3 linked regions of the Daphnia pulex genome follow. The main gene of each other region encodes a partner of the protein of the gene in region 3 in a complex. Links are inferred from orthologs where the notes say so. Each region holds a gene or a part of one and is shown on either strand. Other genes may lie near its edges. The genes, in order: pre-mRNA-processing-splicing factor 8, spliceosome-associated protein CWC27 homolog and U5 small nuclear ribonucleoprotein 200 kDa helicase-like.

Evidence for each region.
Region 1: the proteins of U5 small nuclear ribonucleoprotein 200 kDa helicase-like (region 3) and pre-mRNA-processing-splicing factor 8 are in contact, whole or in part, in a cryo-EM structure (PDB 7OS2), measured with the Homo sapiens proteins. The link is inferred for Daphnia pulex from reciprocal best matches to the Homo sapiens genes SNRNP200 and PRPF8. Residues at the interface, in NP_054733.2 of Homo sapiens: Pro543, Met544, Arg545, Ser546, Thr570, Gly571, Thr589, Glu591, Lys592, Ile595, Arg624, Arg728, Lys729, Glu773, His786, Ala787, Thr814, Glu837, Tyr992, Thr1008, Ser1010, Ile1012, Leu1041, Glu1042, Arg1043, Val1044, Pro1045, Ile1046, Pro1047, Val1048; in NP_006436.3 of Homo sapiens: Trp2073, Arg2074, Ala2077, Ile2078, Ala2081, His2084, Asn2109, Lys2113, Tyr2168, Glu2171, Met2172, Arg2266, Leu2268, Gly2269, Phe2270, Gln2276, Arg2287, Leu2298, Ala2299, Asn2300, Glu2303, Glu2307, Arg2310, Pro2311, His2313, Phe2314, Leu2315, Asn2316, Phe2317, Ala2318.
Region 2: U5 small nuclear ribonucleoprotein 200 kDa helicase-like (region 3) and spliceosome-associated protein CWC27 homolog share a complex: the UniProt entries of both Homo sapiens proteins name them as parts of the minor spliceosome. The link is inferred for Daphnia pulex from reciprocal best matches to the Homo sapiens genes SNRNP200 and CWC27.

Annotation. Positions count from the first base shown.
Region 1 is NC_060027.1:2,056,581-2,059,975, forward strand, and holds the end of pre-mRNA-processing-splicing factor 8, read left to right. Parts: coding exon 1-417; intron 418-495; coding exon 496-2,602; 3' UTR 2,603-2,820; downstream 2,821-3,395. UniProt on the Homo sapiens protein: Plays a role in pre-mRNA splicing as core component of precatalytic, catalytic and postcatalytic spliceosomal complexes, both of the predominant U2-type spliceosome and the minor U12-type spliceosome.
Region 2 is NC_060020.1:8,996,518-9,000,269, reverse strand, and holds spliceosome-associated protein CWC27 homolog, read right to left. Parts: upstream 2,722-3,752; 5' UTR 2,327-2,721; coding exon 2,285-2,326; intron 2,224-2,284; coding exon 2,058-2,223; intron 1,989-2,057; coding exon 1,945-1,988; intron 1,871-1,944; coding exon 1,834-1,870; intron 1,773-1,833; coding exon 1,639-1,772; intron 1,560-1,638; coding exon 1,530-1,559; intron 1,461-1,529; coding exon 1,324-1,460; intron 1,261-1,323; coding exon 1,102-1,260; intron 1,013-1,101; coding exon 881-1,012; intron 814-880; coding exon 626-813; intron 550-625; coding exon 429-549; intron 366-428; coding exon 203-365; 3' UTR 158-202; downstream 1-157. UniProt on the Homo sapiens protein: As part of the spliceosome, plays a role in pre-mRNA splicing. Probable inactive PPIase with no peptidyl-prolyl cis-trans isomerase activity. As a component of the minor spliceosome, involved in the splicing of U12-type introns in pre-mRNAs.
Region 3 is NC_060022.1:2,646,997-2,650,748, forward strand, and holds the start of U5 small nuclear ribonucleoprotein 200 kDa helicase-like, read right to left. Parts: upstream 2,399-3,752; 5' UTR 2,354-2,398; coding exon 1,063-2,353; intron 1,056-1,062; exon of another isoform or gene 1,050-1,055; intron 998-1,049; coding exon 1-997. Other genes in the region: zinc finger protein 704-like, read right to left, coding at 3,475-3,708. UniProt on the Homo sapiens protein: Catalyzes the ATP-dependent unwinding of U4/U6 RNA duplices, an essential step in the assembly of a catalytically active spliceosome. Plays a role in pre-mRNA splicing as a core component of precatalytic, catalytic and postcatalytic spliceosomal complexes.

The sequences.
Region 1 (3,395 bases), on a different chromosome or scaffold from region 3:
CCCCACCTGGGAAGGTCTCTTTTGGGAGAAGGCGTCCGGTTTCGAAGAGTCGATGAAGTACAAGAAGTTGACTAATGCCCAGCGTTCCGGTTTGAATCAAATTCCCAACCGTCGGTTCACTCTGTGGTGGTCGCCAACCATCAACCGAGCCAACGTCTACGTTGGTTTCCAGGTCCAACTCGATTTGACTGGCATTTTCATGCACGGCAAAATCCCGACGTTGAAGATTTCCTTGATTCAAATTTTCCGTGCCCATTTGTGGCAGAAGATCCACGAATCCGTCGTGATGGATCTTTGTCAAGTTTTCGATCAGGAACTTGACGCTTTGGAGATTGAAACTGTGCAGAAAGAAACTATTCATCCCCGTAAATCTTACAAGATGAACTCTTCCTGCGCCGACATCCTTCTCTTCGCCTCGTAAGTGGAACTTATTTTTCTGTCTTGTGTTTTCCTTGTTGTAATATTTGTTACATGTTCTTCATTTTGTTTTTTCAGGTACAAGTGGAACGTTTCTCGGCCATCCCTTTTGGCTGACTCTCGTGATGTCATGGACAATACCACCACACAAAAATACTGGATTGATGTCCAGCTGCGTTGGGGCGATTACGATTCCCACGACATTGAACGTTATTCTCGTGCTAAATTCCTCGACTACACGACAGACAACATGTCCATCTATCCGTCGCCGACTGGTGTCCTGATTGCCCTGGATTTGGCCTACAATTTGCACAGTGCATACGGCAATTGGTTCCCTGGATCCAAGCCGCTTATCCAACAAGCCATGGCGAAGATCATGAAGGCCAATCCTGCTCTCTACGTCTTGCGCGAACGTATCCGCAAAGGTCTCCAGCTGTATTCTTCTGAGCCGACGGAACCTTACTTGTCATCGCAGAATTACGGCGAATTGTTCTCCAATCAAATCATTTGGTTCGTCGATGATACAAACGTCTACCGTGTCACGATCCACAAGACCTTCGAAGGCAACTTGACGACCAAACCCATTAACGGAGCCATTTTCATCTTCAATCCTCGTACTGGTCAGCTTTTCCTCAAGATTATTCACACGTCCGTATGGGCCGGTCAGAAGCGTTTGGGTCAGCTGGCGAAGTGGAAGACTGCCGAAGAAGTTGCCGCCCTGATTCGATCGTTGCCCGTGGAAGAACAGCCCAAACAGATCATCGTCACACGAAAGGGCATGTTGGATCCCCTCGAAGTCCATTTGCTGGATTTCCCCAACATTGTCATCAAGGGCTCTGAGCTCCAGCTTCCCTTCCAGGCCTGCCTTAAAGTCGAGAAGTTTGGTGATTTGATTTTGAAGGCGACCGAACCCCAGATGGTCCTGTTCAACCTCTACGACGATTGGCTGAAAACCATTTCCAGCTACACGGCATTCTCCCGTCTTATTCTTATTCTGCGCGCCCTTCACGTGAACAATGACCGAACCAAGGTGGTGCTGAAACCGGACAAGACCACCATCACCGAAGCCCACCACATTTGGCCCTCACTGACGGACGAGCAATGGATCAAAGTTGAAGTGCAACTCAAGGATCTCATCCTGGCGGATTACGGCAAGAAGAACAACGTCAACGTGGCTTCGCTGACACAGTCTGAAATTCGAGACATCATTCTCGGTATGGAGATCAGTGCCCCTTCGGCCCAACGTCAGCAGATTGCCGAAATCGAGAAGCAGACCAAGGAGCAGACGCAGCTGACAGCTACGACGACACGAACAGTCAACAAACATGGTGACGAAATCATCACGAGCACCACTTCCAATTACGAGACGCAGACATTCAGCTCCAAGACCGAATGGAGAATCCGAGCCATTTCGGCCACCAACCTCCACCTCCGAACGAATCACATTTACGTTTCATCGGACGACATTAAAGAGACGGGCTACACTTACATTCTACCCAAGAACGTGCTGAAAAAGTTTGTCACCATTTCCGACTTGAGAGCGCAGATTGCGGGATACCTTTACGGCATCAGTCCACCTGACAATCCTCAGGTGAAGGAGATTCGCTGCATTGTGATGCCGCCTCAATGGGGTACGCATCAGTCGATCCACTTGCCCGTCCAACTACCCCAGCACGAGTACCTCAAAGACCTGGAGCCACTCGGCTGGATGCACACTCAACCCAATGAGTTGCCGCAACTGTCGCCACAGGATATTACAACTCACGCCAAAGTGATGGCCGACAATGCCAATTGGGATGGCGAGAAGACTGTGATCATTACGTGCAGTTTCACACCTGGCTCTTGTTCGCTCATGGCCTACAAGTTGACGCCCAGCGGCTTTGAATGGGGCAAACAGAACACGGATCGCGGCAACAATCCCAAGGGTTATCTACCGTCACATTACGAGCGAGTGCAAATGTTGTTGTCCGATCAATTCCTCGGCTTTTTCATGGTCCCTTGCCAGGGCTCGTGGAACTACAATTTCATGGGTGTTCGCCACGACCCTAACATGAAGTATGAACTTCACCTGGCCAATCCAAAGGAGTTTTATCACGAGGTTCATCGGCCATCGCATTTCATGAATTTCTCCTCCATCGAGGAAGGTGACAGTGTCGGAGCAGATCGTGATGACTCGTTCGCTTGATTTTCTTGATTTTTTTTTTGTATGGTCTTTTTTCGTTTCCATCCGGGGCCCGTTCCCAATACATAGCCGGAGAAAATAGAAAATAATATGTTTGGGAACTCATGAAATCAAGCTTTGTGTTTTGCTTCCCAATTCTTATAACTTGAAGTTTTTTTCATGTTTTAATGTACTTTCTGTTTGATTCGATTTAAACAGAATACAATAGAGCAAACATTTTATTTCCGTCTGCAACGTTTAATTTGTTTCCATTGCATTCTGTTCCATATCTGCCTTGATCTGAAGTTACTATCGATCAAGAGAGCATCCTTTTGTACTTTACACAACTTAACGAATTGATTAGCTTACGAATAATTAAGTCCTAGAAGTTAAAACAACGAAATCAGCCAAGAGCTAATACTTAATCAATTTCAGTTTGTTTTTCTAACCCTTCCTCTCCCCACCCAGAGTTCTTTTAATGCACAGGTGAAAAATATTACTTTTTAAGATGCAACCTTGAATTGATTACCATAACCCTTAAAAAAAATTTATTCCCCATTTTGTACCTTTTAAGGGGTTAGCAAAACCGCCTACTGAGACAGTTCTCTTATTGACGTGGTCTTGTGAACACGGACAGTTGCAGACTTGCAGGGCAGTTTCGCAGTCCTGCTTGTATTCCAACAGTGATCATCATGCCTCGTTATTTCAGTTCTGTAGCTTTATTTTTTGCGTTCAACAACAGTAGCCTGTGTTGCAAGTTAACTAAATGCTGTTGCGGTTGTTCACTTCAAACAGGAAGCAAAGTTATTGGAGTTTT
Region 2 (3,752 bases), on a different chromosome or scaffold from region 3:
GAGAATTTTCCTTTACATAACAATTCCTTTACGCGTGCAGACTACTTTGGCTACAATTGACACACAAGTTTATGTTCCAGCAAGCCTAAGTGACATTTGTTTCTGATTTTCAAGCTCGTTGAATCAAAGAGAAATTGGTGAGATTAACAAACAAAGGTGAGTTTTATATGTGCATTTCAAAACTGGAGATCATTTTTAGTTTTTAGTTGAATTTCCTCTCTTTCATGATCTTCTTTGATTCCTCTCTTCTTCGTTTGTTTAAGGGGTTACGGGGATCGTAGATTTCAAACCAATCATCACTTTTTGTATTAGCATCTCGGGCTAACGAAGGATTTTTGTCTTCGAATTTCAACGTGTGATTCAACCTAGAAAGAAATAAAGAAATTCTGCAATTTTCAAATTTATAGGGATAAAAAATTATTTCTCACCATGCATCATCATCGTTTACGTCATCAATATCATCAACGCCTCCTTTCGTTGTCCGAGTTTGGCTAAGCTTACTCTGAAATTTTTTAAGGAAATTAAGGGTTTCAGCTTCTCGGTCCGTGCCTATTCCAAATAGAATATTAAAACTTGTTGATGATATGATGAGGTAACAAATATTTTAAACAATTGATCTATTTACCCTTTCCTCGCCGTGTTGTTTTTATGTCCGCATACTTCTTCTGCTGCTCATGAAAATCTTTAAGTATTTCATTATCTTCTTCACTGTCGCTAATTTTTCTTTTCTTAGATAATTCTTGATCTTGAGGAGTTTCACTTGGGTTTTTCATTTCCCTTTTCAAGTCTCTTATCTGTTCTTTGATTTGCTTTCTAAAAGTAAAGCATTTACTTATGAGCATAACTATCAAGTAATTGTTATGACTTGTTTGTTTCTTACAGTTTGTTGTTTGCTTCAGATTTCTTTTGGTTCGAAATGTCAACATCTACACTTTCAGGTGATACTTCTGGTTGCAAATCAGTTTGAGGCACAACCTTTTCAAATTGCCGTTCAATTTTTGTCGGTTTGTCGCTGAAAATATGACATGGAAATTTTACATATGAATGTAGACCATACACAGTCTTTGAAAATGATCTGACGGCTTGTTCTATTAAACGTACTTATTTGTTAACCCCGTTTCTACGTTGACTGCAGGAACAATGCTAAGTTTAGGGTCGTTAGTCAGTTCATGAGAAGATTTCCCACGAAAAGACTTAGTTGGCTGATGAACATCTGTTTCATCTTCTTCTTCGTCCCCAAAGGAAAGCAGCTGAAGATTCCTACAGAATCAAACACAAGCTCTTATAGCAGTTATAACAATATTACATAGCTGGACTTAATACTTTTTTTTATTTATTTTAGATTTTATTTCCTCTGGTTTCTTGATATTTTCTTGGCTAATCCTTGGTTCAATGTCAGGGAATGGATTAGAAATAACTTCTGTTTTAAAAATTTTAGGTGGATGACGAGGTCTATCTTCCTATAGCGTTTATGATTTTATTGATTTTATTATTTTATTATTTGAGTTTCAAAATTTAAATATACTTACACTATCAATATCCAAGTCATTAAATTTGATCTATGAGAAAGAGAAAAAATTGTACATTAGAATTTCTTGAATAATTTGTTCCCAGCGTAATTAACAAATTGTCAGTTACCATGTTGAACAAAGTATTCCCAGCAACCCTACCAAAAATTGTGTGCTTATTTTGCAGTTCCGGACAAGAACCCAAGGTAAAAAAAAACTGTGATTCATTGTCATTGTTTCCAGTGTTAGCCGTTGCAACCAATCCTTAAAAAGATGTTTGAAATGGTACATTATGTAATAAAAACACAGAAGATGTTTGCTTTACCTCTTCTGACAAATCGTAGACGTGAATGAACTTCGTTCTGAATACCAAAAGATTGTAAAAGGTTAATAAAGACTGAAATAATGAATTCTATTCAAATGAATACTATGTAACCTTGAATGGTTCCCCATAAATACTTTCACCACCATGGCCAGTCCCTAAGAAAAAGGGGTGGTAATTGTTTCAATCAAATATAAATAACAACAGATCACATTATTAAGTTTTACCAGAAGGATCTCCTCCTTGAGCAATAAAATTTGGTACCACTCGGTGAAAAATTGTTCCATTGAAAAATCCTTCAAGGCATAGTTGAACAAAATTTCTGCAAGCCTTTGGACATTCTTTGCTCCACAGTTCTATTTCAATTTCTCCTAGAGAAGTAGTCACAACAACCTAAACAAAAGTTACGTTTTAGCACGTAGTTCAATCAATGATACATGAAAAGAATACAAACTTTTCCATTTGTTGGTGGTTCTTGAACGTATATGTTACTCATTGTTGTAAATCGAGGAGAAAAAGGAAGAAAATCAAAATGAAACTAATTAAAATTCCGTGTTTTGATGTGTATAATGTGCAGAGGTAATGTGTAGCTCGACAAAGCTAGTAGTAGTAGCAATCTAGCATCTATGTCAGTTCTATGTCTAGTTCGGAGTTGTTGGCTGCTAGTTCGAGCGAACTGTGTTTGGTTTTTTTTTAAACAAACAAACCATTTTATCCTTTCGACTCACAGCGCTACTGGTGGCAGACGATTGCAACGCACTGTAAATAAGAGTTGCCTGATACTATGCTGGCCATACTCATACATTTATCGCTCTTGAATTCTGAGTTTCTGACGGAAAAATTCACTTATCTTCAGTCTTATTCGATAACTATCGTTGTATCGTATGGATTTAGTAAAAATAGATTTCCTTATAGGACACACATAGAACTAAGCTCGTGATTTACTGATTTGGAATTTCAAAAAATCTCTCCCAACTATTTCTTTATCACTCATGAAATAATTAGTTAATAAATTCATTTTAATTATTTTTCTCTTAAAATTTGGGATCAGGATTTCAACTGTGATGTCCCAAAACTGAAATCTGCATTTCTGTAAAAAATTAAAAATCTGCTGGATAGCTCCATACCCTTAATTTGATCTAGAAACCCTTTTTCCTCATCTTCCTATTCCTACCGCTATAATATCTCAATTGCGTTTTGTTTTAGGTATAGAAACTGAAAAATCTAAAGTGTGAGGAAAGCCTTTGTATCTTGTTTTCTACTGTGCTAAGAGTATTTTTATTACAATAAATATATTTTAAACATTAGATTTAAAAACTTAAACTTTACCGCGATCAACCTGACAAATTTTCTTTTATGAAATCTGGAATTTTTTTTTTTAATAACCCGACCTACTTTTAGTAGGCAAAGACGAAAATTCAGTTTCTTTTTTGGAAAGTTGTGTATTTTAGCTGAAGGTTATTAATTGACTAAGGAATAGGACAAACCAAGTCATGGATGAAGCTATGACCACAATGTACCAAACAATAAAAGTATGGCCTGCTTTCTCCAAATTCTATTTTCTCCCAATTTGGTAAACGAATCTGCTGCTGCGATACTTATTATTAGCATGTAATTAGCAAGCAACTTTACGGAGGCTTCAGAACAACAACCGCAACAAAATCGAATAGCAAGAGGAAACGCAAGTACCGTGTGAACGTGATGAGGATGAAGCCGGATGAAACGCCTATCGGACGATGACGCGACATGACACACTGAACGTATGGCAGGCTGACAAATTTTAGACTTTTTCACCTATTTTGGGGTTTTTCCGTAACAATCATTGTAAACCTTAAACAAATATATCTGAGACAACCGCGCATACAAATGGGGAGTTTCAGAGGAATTTGCATAATTTTAAATACATCTGAATGGTATTGTTA
Region 3 (3,752 bases):
TCATTGCGCAAAACTTCCGTAGAAGCGGAACCCTCACGTAGAAAGGCTCCCAGAGAGTCTTTCTCCAAACAAAGATCGCGGATGGAACGTGCTGTTTTGCCGGTTTCTTTCCTCGAATGAACGAAGACGAGAATTTGATTCTTGCCGGCGTGCTCCATTACCTTCTCGTATACAATTTCGTTCATAATCTGATAACGCTTAACAGCTTTCTTCTCCGTGATTCCAACGTACTGCTGTTCCAAGGGTACAGGGCGGTAGCTGTTGTCGAAGAAGAATAGACCCGTCTTGGGTCGGACACGCAAGAAAGTGGCCACATCTTCGTAATTGGGAAGCGTGGCAGAAAGACCCACCAATCGCAAATCTTCTTGAGTGGATTCGACGGTGCGGATAGTACGAGCTACCAAGGCTTCCAAAACTGGACCACGGTCGTCGTGCAACAAGTGAATTTCGTCAAAGATCATCAACTTGACCAGTTGCGTGTAGGTTCGGTCTCCTGATTTGCGAGTGATAATGTCCCACTTTTCGGGCGTGCAGACAATCACCTGAGTTTGTGCAATTTCTTCACGGCTGAGTTGATGGTCGCCCGTCAATTCGGCAACTTTCAGGTTGAAAGGCGCCAGTCTTTTGCCAAAACTGCCCACCATCTCTTGTACGAGCGAACGCATGGGTGCAACGTAGATGATTTTGAATTCATCAACGCGAATTGTTCCGTCCGGATTGATGTACTTGCCCAATTCTCTCATCATTGTCAACAAAGCCACGTTGGTTTTGCCGGCGCCGGTTGGGGCGCAAATTAACATGTTCTCATCCGATTCGAGAGCTGTTTTATAGATTTTAGACTGGATTCTGTTGAGCGTTTTGAATCCTTCGAAAGCTGGTTGGGCGTAGGTTGGAAGTTTATCGATAGGAATAAGCATTTCATCAGCATCAAAAGGCCTAGGTTTCAATGGTGGCACATGAACTTCTTCGTAGCCTTTACGCTGTTTTCGGAAAGAACCTGCAATACAAGTCCATGTTTAAATTTTGATTGAAATTAAAAGATGAGAAACTAAATTATTATACCTTCTGGAAGTGTACACTTTTTGTTGGCCATGAAGTGAGAGCCCTGAGCGAATGCAAGATCCTCCAAGTCCAGTAGCTCTCGAAGACCTGGAATGCCACTGTACCCTTCCTGTCCTCCACCTCCGACTTCTTTGGAGGCAGAAGTACCTTGACGTGAACTCTTTTTAAAATCGACTTCCATCGGTTCGATTCCAGTGTCGTCCCTCACAGTATCTAATTGTCGAAGGATCTTGTTCAGATGGGGATTGCTCTTCATCTCGTCTTGAATGCTTCGACGTTCAGCTTCGCTCTGTGCGGATGCCAGTAACGAACAGTAAAGAATCATGTGTCTGTTTTGTTTAAGCAGCTTGATGAAGTCAAAGCAGTCAAAACCAAGCAAGACAACTAGCTGATTTTCACATTCTCTTTCATCCTGGATATTCTTGAGGATGTTGAGGACTTCACCGGCTCTGGCTTGAGACACCATGGGGTCACTGTAAAACTTTGACAGCTTCCTCTGAAGCCAATAGGCATCAATATCGAGGGGATGCAATTTCTTCTCTTTTTTACCGCCCAAATCGACGCCACTTGCGACAGCATCAGCATGAATGGCATGGTCTGTTTCAGCTTCATCAGCTTCATCCTCACCGTCATCTTCTTCTCCAATCTCTCCATACACATTTTCTTCTTCGTTTTCTTCGTCTGTGTCTTCAAATTGCACATTGATGCCATACTGGTCGTCCATTTGCTCTTCTCCAGTACCCATTTTCTCGTCTTGGCCCCAATCTGTGATCTTCTTACCCAGGTTAACGAGCAGGGCAAATCTTTCTTCTGGCAAGGAGCCAAGCATAGCCTCTGTTTCCTTTTTCTTCTCCTTATCCTTGAGCTTGTCGTTCTTGAGAACCGTGAGGACTTCATCAGCAGCACCACACAACACATCTCTGGGTTGATCACTCAACGCTTCCTGAATAAAACTGAGAAGCACTTCGTAAGTCTGTTTGGTGTCCTGCGTTTTGGGCCTGTAGATGATGCCAGAGATTTCATCCAGGTTGTCGCTTTGCAAAGGTCCTTTTCCACCATTTTTACCACCAATATCAGTTTTGTTGGGATCACGCTTCTGACGTTTTGCCGGTTTCATCCGTTGGGCTTTGTCACCCATGCGAGTTCCTTCCAACTTCCCAGTAAGGGACATAACCTCACCGGTGGCTTCATCTCGTGCTCGGCGATCGATTAAACGAACGTCAGCTTGTAAAACCAAATTAGAATTGGCTTTATACTCGTACTGGAGCGAACGTGCTGCGGCGTCCGCCATTTCTTACGGCTTGCTTTTAGACACTGACGAAAGTTTCGTATGCTGTTCGAACAGGCAATTGACAGCGTTGCCAGTTTGTAATAAAACAAAATTCAGAATTCGAGAGGAAATTTGTATATTGAAAAATTTAAAAATCTCGCCATAAAACTCTGGGTCGACACGCGCGAAAAAAGGGATAAAAAAAATACAGAAAAAAAGCAATTAAGAAACTAAAACACCATTTTTGTAAGGAGAAAAAACCAAACATTTTTCAAAAGTCCATCGGTCTTGAGAATGAAATGAGAAAAAAACACAGAAACAAAACCCCCCACTATGCGAACTACAAAGGAGATGGAAAAACAAAATCAGGTCTAAATAGGGTAAATCTATAAACGTTAAAATTCACGCAGCGTTATTGCAAAAATAACTCTAAATCGACGAAATAAAGAAACATTGGTAGAGAAAAAAGCCATCTAACGCTGTACAAAGCTTTTTTGAGAGTAACGCAGATATGAGGTGGGACATAGGGATGAAAACAATATTTTTTCAATGATGTTGTACGAGAGGTAATAACGACACCAGTCAGAGAAATCGTCACTGAGCTACGGCAGCCTGGTCAGTGGCAAGATACAAAACAACACTGCATCTTCACAACGAAAATTATGCACACACAACAACACGCTCCGGCATGAATTTGTCATAACAAATACGAAAGCCAATAATAATTAAAAAAATAAAAAATAAAGTCAAAACGTTTTTTTGTCTTTTGTCAAAAAGTTGCCCGCAAGTAAAAATGGTTTCAAACAATATCAACCGCCCAGCGCGCCAAGTGTCATAGATCTTTTGAGATCCGTCATCCGCACAAAAACTTGGCTCCTATTCCGCAATACATCCAGCACCAGACATCAAAATTTAAAAAAAAATTTCCTGTCGACAACAATAAAAAGAAAAATAGCCATGAAACAACAAAACACAATCAGACAAAGAAAAAGGAGGGGAGACGTTTGTTCCATGTCAAAATCAAGCGGAAAACGGATTAAATTTCTACAGTCGGAAATCCGAGCGGTTGTTTTTCTTTTTCTCGGAAAGGATTAAATAGTATATATATACGTACACATTGGGGTGTGGTATAGTCATTTGTTTCACTCGCCGAAGCGAGTGCAAGCCTTTTTCCATTTGCATTGAGTGCACCACTGCTCGCGGTGTTCCATTCCGTAAACCTTGCGGCACTTTTTGGCCTCGCCGCGGGGCCGACGAACGGGACTGCTCTTGACTGTAAAGACCGAAGCTCCGGTAGTAGATGGTGGCGCTAGTGGGGGCGCCGGTGAAGGAGACGTTTTGGGCGACACAACCACTTTGGCCTGTTTGAGCGCATTCTAGAATAATAACAAATAAATTTTAAAAAATTAGTGAAAATCTA